3 linked regions of the Tamandua tetradactyla genome follow. The main gene of each other region encodes a partner of the protein of the gene in region 2 in a complex. Links are inferred from orthologs where the notes say so. Each region holds a gene or a part of one and is shown on either strand. Other genes may lie near its edges. The genes, in order: GTF2H5, GTF2E2 and POLR2H.

Region 1 (3,748 bases), on a different chromosome or scaffold from region 2:
AATCAGGAAAAATGAGGCCATTTAATTGTTTCTGAGTTTTACTAACCTCATAGCTGCTGATATATAACCAACATAGCTTTTTCCTCTATCAATTTCTTGACGTGGGAAAAGTTGTGGGTTAGCCACATAAATGGCTGAAGGAGGAATCTACTTAAGGTTTAGACAAGCATCATTTTAGCTCAGGCCACTGCCATTTGTTATCTGAGAGACTGCAATAGCTTATCCTTACTGATATCCTTGACTCTAGCTGATCACTTCTCTAATCTATTCTCCACAAGGCAGGAAATCTAATCAGGTTAACTCTTGGGTTTTAAACACTTAAGAGATTTAAAGGCATGGAATACCAGGCTTTTTTTTTTTTCTTTTTCATGATTTGGCTCTGCCAATCTCGCCAGTCTCACTTTTATCATTCTGACCTTCCAACCAAATAGACAAAAATCTAAGCTCCCAAGATAGCAAACTATTTATCTGGAGTTCCTTGAATTGCACAATGTTATTGCTCACTTCAGAGAGGTGATTTAGCTAAGCATGAGATTATATCATTTTAGGGGCACAAAGCACAGTAAATAGTATTTGAAACAATGGGAGGGTCCACAAGGCAGTGTTCCCAGATGAGACAGAATTCCTGGTGGCCAAACTGGCAAGTGGAGACAGAGCCAGACTGATCCAGCAGTTCAGGGATTAAGACTAGGTGAACCTGTGTTAAAACTAAGCCCTGTGTTAGATTACTTTGCGGAATTCAGCCCATTACGGTTTCTAGTTTCTCCTCTGGGATTTGTATAAAGGCATTCAAAAAACTTTCTTCAACTGGTTCTGTTGTTTTTCTTTCTTCCTTTCTTTTTTTTAAGATGGCAGTTTGAAATAGTGAAGATTTAGGCGAATTCCTGAACTACTGCGGTCCCTAAAATTCTATTCAATCTGATGATTTGAGGGGTTTACAAGGCCTGTTTCTCCAAAGAGTGCTAATCTAACAAATAAAGATGCCTTGGATTATATAAACTGTTGAAAATAATCCCAATTATATTAATTTAACAGAGACATTGGAATGTGGCACCAGGAATGAATTTAGCAACAAAAACTGCCCATTTGTTATGTAAGTAAGAAAACAAAAGTTGAGGAAGTAGGAAAAGATTTTATTTCATTGATATTAAAAGAAAAAAATGGATAGGATTTTAGACGAATACATATAAATCAAATTCAGTATGTAGATTTTAAAACTCACAAAGTATCAAAACTACTAACCATTCTATAAGCACTCCTTTCAAGACGTTGACCATTTTTCCCACTCAGATGCAATGACTTCAAGAATGCTAATAAAAGGGAGAGATGACAAAATTAAAGAACATCAGTTGCTATACTTTGAGATTTCCCTCATTTCAAATATTAAATGTCAATATATAATATTTAAGTCCATGAAAGATAAAAGTGCCAACATTAAGAAACAGATTGAGATTCTGAATTTTTAACAAGATTAAAACGAGTCTCTTTATATTATTTTACCCAATGTCAATTAATCATAATGAAAGCAACATGTTTAACTCCACACCAGTGTGTCCAACCCAGGTTTAAAACATATCCATTACTGGAGAGATTTACTTTCCCACCCAGAAGTATAACAGCTAAGATCCTGGGAGGCAGGAATCACAGAATGGTAGTTTTGAAATGGGCCTTAAAAACTATATAGTAAGCCCAAGAATCTCATTTCACAGCTGGCGATGAGATTAAGCAGCAGCTCCAGCCAAAAAAAAAAAAAAGGGCAAAAATGTACAAGCTAGGTCTTTCACCAAACTACGTCCCTCAAGGATTTGCATTTGAAGGAAATCAACAGCGTACGCCCACTAAACCCTCGCACTTTTTCATCTGGGCGCGGAGCAATGCATGCTCCAAAATAAATCTATGATACTGCAACAAAGCCTACAAAAACGGCCACCCGAACTTGTCAGGAAAGACCCAGAGCGGGTGGGGACCCTGGCTACTAACCCAGTACCTGGAGAGCAGATATGTGGCTTTCCCCAACTCTCTTCAGTTTTCGGATCCCATCGTTTCCCACGTACCCCACTCTACCCATTTACTCCAAGGCCCAGTACGCACCTCCACCTACAGACGCAGCCGAGCCTCGGCGTCGCAGACGGAGTACGACTGTGTGAGCAACGTGCACGTCACCACGCTCTTGAGGGTGGAGCGCGCCGGCGGGAGGCGGAGCGAATACCCGGCCCGGTCTGCGGGGGTGGGATCACGTGCCTCGCGCTACTTGGGAGGAGGGTGCTGGCTCCCAGTGGCGGAGAGGGTGGGCTCCGCGCCTTCCCTCCTCACCCCAGCGACTGGGTGCCGGAGTGAACGGTTGGGGGCGGGCAGAGTCTGCGCTGTGCAGGTAGGAGGGGTTGGGGCTGGGCTTGTGGGAGCGGTCCTGGCGGGCGTGGGAAGGCAGGGTTCGGACCCGAACCCCAGGCGCAGGTCTGGACTGACCGCGGACATCGGCCGCAAGGCGCGAGCGTCTCTCTCCGGACCTTGGAAGCCTGGCTCTTCTCTCTCACTAGCTGCTCATCTCTTTTCTCCCCCAGAGTAGAGCACCTGCCAGTAGCATAAGCCTGGGCTCTGTAGTCAGGAAGACATGTTGACAAAGAGGAGACAATTTAATCATTCAAATCTCAGTCTTCCGTACGACAGCCTCTTGTTCACGCTCTGACCCCAGTGATTGAATAGCTTTAATGTTGTGAGGTGTCCAAACCTGGGTAACGGTAATTTTGAGGTGAAAGACGCCAAAAGGTTCTAAAATTAATCCCTTCTCCGAATTCTGATCTGTAGTCTGAGCTCTTTAATTTTTTTTTTTTTTTTTTTTAACAAAGTGAGATACGAGGTTCTTGCTTTCTGCCTTAGGTTAAATTATACTTCCCCTAGTTAAGCGCATGAGATCTTTTAGGAACCTAGCTTTTCCTAGGTTTTCTTTTTCTTTCTCTCCCTCAAATCTTTTTCCTCCTGTTGGTTTCCATGTCATTGCTTGCTCTCTTTAAAATCTGCTTTTTCCTTTTCTGGTCTACATTCTCTTTCTTGACCATCTCATTAGTTCCATCACGTTGAACAGCCACTATTGAGCTCCAGTAGCTGGTAAAGTGCAGTACCTGCACTTTAATGTACTGTGAGCACTCTAAATTCGGCCTCGTAAATTGAACTAGTTCTTATCTCTCATTCTCATTTGAAAAAACTTGAATTTCTCTGGATGATCTAGATTTAAAACCTCCATCCATGTATTCAGCAAATATTTTTGTGCTCCTGTTTTATGTGCCATCACTATTCTGGATGCTGGGGATACAGTACTAAACCAGTAACTAATTTTAGTAGGGGAAGGGAGACACCAAACAAATCAGTTAACAAGAAGGTATCAGGTGGCAGTGTGTAACAGAGTAACGAAAGGGTTACTTTGCTTAGGGGATGTCAGAAATGGCCTTCAGGAAAATTGCTGAATGTGAACGTTACTTCTGTAGGCCTGCAATAACTGGAAATTTTAATAGCATAAAAAGGTGTAATTTGTAACAGCAGTCAAAATAAAGGTATTGCTTCAGGGATAGAAAGTAGACCAGCTGAACAGGATAGAGAGCCTACATGTACATCTGTGGGAGCTTAGTATTCCAGTAAATGGTATTATAAGGCAGGGGGAAAGCAGACTATTCAGTAAATGGTGCTGAGATATGTGGTATCCATGTGGAATGAATATAAAAGTGAATTCCTCCATTATACATTCACAACAATA
Region 2 (3,748 bases):
AATCTTCACACAATGTAAATAACCCATTGTGTTAATTTTCCCAAATAAGTTATTATTTTCCCAATAACTTAACCTAGACACAGGTTAAGTTATTTGAGGAGTAACCAGTACTAAGTAATTAAACAACGAGAGTGGTTAAGCATCGTCTTGGCTGCAACTGTAGGTTATAAGAGAGAGGAAAGGACAGCCCCAGGAAGTCTGATCTCCAGCACATTGCACCATGAGGGCAAGGCCGAGGATCTTTTCCCTTGCTTTATGTCCACTCCTTTATGTTGCCTGCAAAATCCGAAATGCTTTCCCACAGAGTTCAGAGTTGTAGTGGAAAAAACCCTGGTTGGGAGTTCAGAGACTGGGACAAATCCTCCACTTCAGGAGCTGTCTTTGCTAGCTGTGCCGTCTTGAGCAAATCATTTAGCTTCACTTTAAAAAGAAACGGCTGGGACAATGTACTCAGAGGTTCAGGTGCTGAGGACTGGCATTTGAGGTAAAGTCACAGTAGCCTTAAATCTCTGCAAAGGAAATATATTTCTTCCATATTCCTTTGTGCGGCCCCATCCCGCGCCGGCCCCAAGTCTGGTTCTCAGTCCCACTACCAGCCACCCTCCCGTTGTCATGGAGATCTGAACGCCCGAGAAAGGCTGAGTCCCCGCCCCAGGTACCTGTGGCCTGGCTCGCGAATGCGCACGCGCGTTCTCGGCAGCGCCGGCGCCGCGGTGGTTGCTGGGACTCTGCTCCTAGCAGCCCGATCAGGAAGTGGCGGGCGGAGCCCCGGGTCGCGTCGCCGCCTCAGCCGCCGCCGCCAGTGCCGAGACCCCGGCGAGCGGGTCAGCGCTGGGTGCGCGCGCGGGCAGGCGGGGGCGCTGACGAGGAGCAGGAAGGGGCGGCCGCGCCGGTGTGGGCGGCTGGCCGGGGCGGAGGTGCCCGAGAGGCAGCGGCGGGTCGCGTGGGGCGGCCCTCCTGGCTCAGGTAGGGGCTCTGGCGGCCGGCAGTGGGGCGCGGACCCCCAGCCTGTGGTTCCTCGGGACTGAGGGGGGCGGGAGTGTGTTCCACCTCCCCGGGAGGCTGGGGTGCCGTCCTCTGTTCGAAACTCCTCTAAACACTGTAACGATTCCGTGGGAGCATTGTCCTTTAGGCCGGAGCGTACATTTAGCAAACTTTTGGGTTGGAAAGAGGGAAATTCGCAATCGGACGGCTGATTTGTTCCTTTGAGTGCCTTCAAGTTTACACCAGAAGCATTTAAGCGAACTTTGGTATCCAGACAAATAAAGGCTGTGATTTAGACACATACTCGTCCACGGACTATTTCTTAGGCTGGCTTTTGGAGACCTAGTTGGTACTGACTTTTCAAGTTTAATTCTCATAGTTTTGTGCAAAGGCTAAAGACTTTTTTGTAAAGCAGAAAAGCTGCGATGCCTTTCCGCGCACCTCTACATTTCTGTCGTCTGGGAGGGAAGCAGCTTCCTCTCAGCCCGCCGGCTGTTCGTAGCAGGGTGCTTGGGTGTCAGTGGCACCCTCGAGGTTTAGTCGGGGGAAGCAGCAAAACAGAAGAGTAGAAAGGTTGAAAGAGGTCGGATGGTGTAGTGGAGAGGACCTGTGCTTTGGAGCCAGAAGATTTTGGTTTAGTTTTTGGCTTCTCGATGTTCATCCGTGGAAGAATACAACAGCAAACGGAACCTGTGGGGTGGTCATCGTGGTTTTTTTTAAATGTAAACATGTGGGTGGGGATGTGTCCAGTCTGATCGAGATGTAAACCTCAATGGAAATGTTTTTGTAATCCGAGAAAAGGGAAGAAGTGGAGAAAAGTTAGGAAGAGCATGCAGTGGTGAAAGAAAGAGATCGAGAAGGTGCCACCCAGGTCGCCTTTGTTTGGAGGCCTTGACCTGCTTTCCAGGTCTGGTGTAAAGAGCACTTAACCAGGAGTCAGGAGATTCGGGTCCTAGCCCTTTTTTTCCAGCTGTGTCGCCTTTGCTGTACCTCTTCACTTCAGATTTCACATATTAAAGGAGAAATAAACCTGATGCTTTATTATTTCATAGAGTTGTGAGGATCAAAGACAGTAAGCCTTTAGGTCTTTGTGAACAGTAAGGCTTTATTTAAACTTGTGTCAAAATCGTTATTAAAAGCTCAGATTTATTATGTTTGTAGGTGAAATGAACAATAAAAATTGAAATACAAATGCTTCCTGTTTTAGGAGATTACGATCTGCTTGTTGCCCCTACCATGTCACTTGTGAATTCTCATTCCTTATTCTCATACTGACACTTTCCCTCTTCCCAAAATATTCTCCTCCCTGCCTTGCCCCAGTATAGCCATTCTGTTATTTATTTCCAGATCCAATTCAAATAGTAATACTGTAGTGATGACCTTTATGTATATAGCATGGAGCTTGAAGTTTTTAAAAATTGCATTCAAAAACATTTTTTCATTTTGTCCTTATAATTGGGCCAAACATAAATAGTGCTGAAAGTATCCTCCTTTTACTTATGGTAAAATTGGATTTAGAGAGGTCTAGGGGATTGCTTAGGGCCATGCGACTCTGGGAACTGAAACTGAGACAAGAGGGCTGGCCTTTGACTTTGGGCCCAGTGACTTCACTTTTTACTTAACCACTTTTTGCTTAACTCTGTTGCTTATCGACACTTGTGTTTTTAATACTCCGAATCACATTTTATTTATTTATTGCTTTTTATGCACCATGCTTGTTTACCTTTGTGTTCTCAAATGTAAGCTGCTTGAGGGCAAGGATTTATCTTCCAGACCTTTTAAAACTTTGGAGCACAATGCCTCACAAACAGAAGATGTTTAATAAAACATCTTGTTGAGACCAGTAATCCTAAGGCTAGAGCAATTTAATGATTTTTAAAATTTGTTATTCACTTAAATATTTATTGAGCTACCTTGTGCTTAAAACCTTTCAGTGTTTGAGATGGAATCCTTTTTCTCCAGGATCTTACTGAATTATGAATACTAATCTTAACAATGTCATACTCATTCACATAGCTTGAGCTCTTTCTAGATCCTCTGCAGGCATCTATGAAGATTTCAGACAAGAGAAGAATGTTTTTGTAAATTCTTGTTTATTGATCTGTAGCTTCCTGGTTTAGCTAAAGTTTTTAGACTTGTCGAATTTTAGAATTGAGAAAAATCCCTGAGGGGCTAATTTAGTCCAAGCCTCCCAAATCAGGAATTTTCTGTAGATATTTCTAACAGATACTCATCTAGCCTCTTCATCACTAGTTAATTGAGAGTTCATCAGTTTTTAAGGTACATAGTTTCATATATAAGCACTTGAGATTACCCTTTCTCTCTCTTTTGTTTTTGTTTGCAATGGGCCTAAATCTACTTCCTGATTTTTTCTGCAAAGTCCTGATGTTGTTTTCTAGTGCAATGTTAAAAGAAACAGGTGAAATGAATTTTAATATTCTATTTAACCCAGTATATCTAAAATATCGTTTTAACACATAATCAATGTAAAGTATTTAGGTGATTGTTATATTTTCTTTGAAATCTGGTGTGTGTTTTACACTTAGAATATATCTCAATTTGGTCTAGCTACATTTCAGGTTCTCAATTGGTACGTGTGGTTAATGACTACTACCATACTGGACAGCACAGCTGTAGAGTTTAAAAGAATAATTTTACTTCTTTTTTCACTCCCTAGCACAGTCCTTGGCACATAATAGGCACTAATTAAATATGTGTTGGATGAATAAATGAGTGAGTAAATACGACAATTGTTAGAGAACTT
Region 3 (3,748 bases), on a different chromosome or scaffold from region 2:
GCCATCAAAAAACTACAACTCACAAGCATGTAATCACTGCTTGATAAATACCTGTCTATCTCAATTCTTAAATGCAGCAATTTCCTTGAGGTTACTCAGATTCTGCTGATAATCATTTATTCCATGAATTAAATAAGGGTCTTTCTACGCCACTTTATCTACTCGTCCTCAGAGGGTATTTCAATTAGCCTCTTCTCAACTCCCTCACCTGGAAGGCCGGTCATCTGTGGGGTTGTATTCACCATCATCTAGTGTACCATCTTCATACAAGGTACTGGCTATGACCAATCGGAATTTGTCACCTGGAAATAACGCCAATATACGAGCATGAAAACAAGTTGTAACATCAAAAAGTCCCTTGCTATTATCTGTGTACAACACTTACCCAAATCTACAGGGTAAATCTGAATGTTTACATCTAAGATGAGGTCCATCTTGAAAGATTCGCTCTCACAATGCAGTCGAGACACTGGGGGGAGTGAAAAAAGAGGGCAGAAGTAACTGCCATGCCCAGAACAGACCCACTTTGGGGGTTATATGCGACAGAGCACAATCGAACCCAGCTGCTCTGCATTCACTGGCGTCTCCTCCACTCTCATAGAAGTACAGGCTCCACCAGAACCAGATATGCAAGAAGGAAAAGGGGATGAAAACTATGGCTAGGAAATGGAGTCCCCCGAAGAGAATCAAAGGTCCTCTGGCAGGGAATAATATCCAGGTTCTAGCCCTGTATAGGTAAGAAACTACCTGACTGGGCAACGTATTCATTCATCCACAGGTTTAGTCTTTCTGTGTTAGGCTATGTGCTGAGAGGATTGCCAGGATGTATAAGGACTGGTGTGCACCTGAAAGAACATTTTGGTCTCCAGGCAAAGGAAGAGACACCAAGGAGAAACAATTATTGATCAGTGACAGAACATTTATACCAAGTAGTTAACTAACTCAGAGAGGACTTCACAAACAGCTAAGGATTCTGAAGGCAATACAATATAAACTCAGAATTCAGATTATTTGCTGTGCACCCTAGGGTGGGTTATTTAACCTCTCCGGCAAAATACAGAAGTCACCACTTACCTCATGGGGGCTGTGGAATGAGTAAGATAAAGTGTGTGTGAGGTGCACAATGGAAAGCGTAGCAGAGCAGGGAGCGATTATTATTATTATTATTTTACTTTTTTATTTTTTTAAACATAACAACATGCAAAAACGAACATTCTTACCATACGATCATTCCATTCTTGATATATAATCAATAACTCACAATATCATCACATAGTTGTATATTCATCACCATGATCATTCCTTAGAACATTTGCATCAATTCAGAAAAAGAAAAAAATAAACTCATACATATCATACCCCTAACCGCCCCTCCCACTGACCGCCAGTATTTCCATCTACCCAATATATTTTAGCCTTTGTTTCCCCTATTTTTTTCTATACCCCTTATCACGCCCTTTCATTGATCACTAGCATTTCAATCTACTAAATTAATTTTAACATTTGTTCCCCCTATTATTTATTTTTAATCCCTATGTTTTACTCATCTGTCCATACCGTAGATAGGAGCATCAGACACAAGGTTTTCACAATCACACAGTCACACTGCAAAAGCTATATCATTATACAATCATCTTCAAGAAACATGGCTACTTGAACACAGAGGGAGCGATTATAATTACGAAAGATAACCAATCTGCACCGTGACAAAACGCCACCCAGGCACTGGGCACAGCATGTGTGAAGCCAGGGAGAACTCGCAATCTAAGTTTCCTCAACAATAAAAACAATAATGTTGTTGTTTCCAAACAACAATTTCCTAAGGGAGGTCCCCTACATCACGGCCTGCCGGTAAGGGCAGGCCACGCAAGTCAGGACGAGACGGGGGACCCGGGGGCGTGTCGCAGAGGAGGGCTATAGCCCCTTCCCCTCCAAGCGCGCCGGCAATCCTTACCTCGGTCAAACTTCTTGCCCTCCGGGTCAATGTCTTTCACATCGAAAATATCTTCAAACAGGATGCCCGCCATCGTGAAAAGGCCACGAGAGCAGCGGGGGTGCCGGATGCGCGACCACGACTGGGGGTCCGCACACCCCCTCGTGTGGATTTTAGAAGAGTGGAAGGAAAAGGATAGCGCCTAAACAGCGGGAGCCAGGGCGTCGCGCATGCGCAAAGCTGGCCATAGTGCCTCTACTTCCGTCGCGTTCCTCTCGGGGCTTCATAACTTCCGCTCCCAGTAATAGCATCCGAGAGATTCCAGGACTGGGGGGCGGGGCTCCGGTTGGCCCCGCCCCTGACCGAGGCAGAGGTGGTGCGAGTTCTCTAGCTGGCCTGGTCTCCACTGCGCCCTCTTCAGACTCTCGGTTGCGAAGGCGGGAAAGCGTGGAGGCATACCTCTGACTGGGACCTTGATCCTTGGCCCAGAGAAGCCCGGCCCTAGCCCTACCCTGCCGGTCCGCGTGTCTGCCGAGGGCACAGTCCGCCCCGAGGGCGGGCGGAGCAGAACCCCGCCTCGGGGGCACTGGCTAGGCAAGGCGCCGTGCCCAGGCCCTCCAGCTGGGATCGAGGTCCCCCGGGGCGGCCCGGACCGGCTTGCCCTGCTAGACGTCACCTGAGCCGGGTCCGTCCGGTTTGGGAATTTGCCGTGATGTCACCACAGGGAAAAGGAAAACCTGCACTGTCCCCTCCCCACCACTGCTCTCTTGTCCTGGGCCCTGCTCGCTTCCCCGGCCGCCCTCCCCGGAGAATTGCCCCTCAAGCCGGATGATGCCCATTCCCCCACCACTGCCCTCTCCCTCTGGACACTGATCTCCTGTATACCCCTGCATCTCGGCACAATCCTCTTCTTGGCTACCAGCTCTTTCCTCGCACTGCCCCTTCCTCCTGGGGCTGGCTCCCCTCCCCCTGCGCACCCTCTCTGCCTCTTTCATCCTGGTGCTGCTCCGTCCCGTATGCTACCCCTTTCCTAACTGCCCTCGCCCTCTCACTAACTTCGCTCTGGTATTGCCTATCCACCGTTGGGCTTCCCCAACTCTGTACCCTATCTTTCCCCGGACCCTGACAGGGGACACCAAGCCCCCGCAGGCCGTTCCCCTAGGGTGGCGAGACGTGAGCAGCTCCTCGAGCTTCTCTTAGGGCCCAGCGGGGGAGAAGCGACCTCTGCCCCCCACGCCCGCCAACCAGGAGTGGCCGCTCCGACACCCAGCTCTCCCTTCCCGCGGGCCTTACCCCTCTCCAATCCCTCCCTACCTCGTCAGCCACTCCACCCCCACCCCCAGGCCAGGTTCCTCCAAGTGCACCTCCGAGAGGCGGGGGTCCGGAGGAAGGGGAGGAGGACGGAGCCCCAGGGTCTCGGTACCAAGAAGCACCTCCCCTCCCCACCGCTCTTTTGTCCAAAATGCCCCCTTAGAGAGGTCTATCCAGGCCCAGCCGAGCCTTTAGGGCCACCCCCCACCCCCACCCCCACCCCCACCCCTGCCGGAGCAGAGAGGACGGCGCTCCTTAGGTTCCTTTAGACAGCTCCAACAGCCCCCGACTCCAGGCCAGTCGGCCTCACGGTCGCCGACTCCTCCACGTGCCAGCGGACCGGCCCCCGCCCCAGCCCCGGGTGCTCGCACGGCCCCGCGCCCTCGGCCGCCCCTCCCGAGCCAAGGAAGGCGGCCCCAAAGCAGACCCCGACTGCGCTGGGCCGGGCTCTAGCGGCGCACAGGACCCCGCCCCCGGCCCGCCCGCCCGGGAGGGGACGCGAGC

What was found.
Region 1: GTF2E2 (region 2) and GTF2H5 share a complex: the UniProt entries of both Homo sapiens proteins name them as parts of the TBP-based Pol II pre-initiation complex. The link is inferred for Tamandua tetradactyla from reciprocal best matches to the Homo sapiens genes GTF2E2 and GTF2H5.
Region 3: GTF2E2 (region 2) and POLR2H share a complex: the UniProt entries of both Homo sapiens proteins name them as parts of the TBP-based Pol II pre-initiation complex. The link is inferred for Tamandua tetradactyla from reciprocal best matches to the Homo sapiens genes GTF2E2 and POLR2H.

What each region holds. Positions count from the first base shown.
Region 1 is NC_135328.1:150,966,672-150,970,419, reverse strand, and holds the start of GTF2H5 (general transcription factor IIH subunit 5), read right to left. Parts: upstream 2,204-3,748; 5' UTR 2,092-2,203; exon of another isoform or gene 1,988-2,091; intron 1,311-1,987; 5' UTR 1,278-1,310; coding exon 1,243-1,277; intron 1-1,242. UniProt on the Homo sapiens protein: Component of the general transcription and DNA repair factor IIH (TFIIH) core complex, which is involved in general and transcription-coupled nucleotide excision repair (NER) of damaged DNA and, when complexed to CAK, in RNA transcription by RNA polymerase II.
Region 2 is NC_135352.1:12,981,932-12,985,679, forward strand, and holds the start of GTF2E2 (transcription initiation factor IIE subunit beta), read left to right. Parts: upstream 1-833; 5' UTR 834-966; intron 967-3,748. UniProt on the Homo sapiens protein: Recruits TFIIH to the initiation complex and stimulates the RNA polymerase II C-terminal domain kinase and DNA-dependent ATPase activities of TFIIH. Both TFIIH and TFIIE are required for promoter clearance by RNA polymerase.
Region 3 is NC_135336.1:2,713,802-2,717,549, reverse strand, and holds the start of POLR2H (DNA-directed RNA polymerases I, II, and III subunit RPABC3), read right to left. Parts: upstream 2,430-3,748; 5' UTR 2,028-2,429; coding exon 1,955-2,027; intron 470-1,954; coding exon 386-469; intron 303-385; coding exon 209-302; intron 1-208. UniProt on the Homo sapiens protein: DNA-dependent RNA polymerase catalyzes the transcription of DNA into RNA using the four ribonucleoside triphosphates as substrates.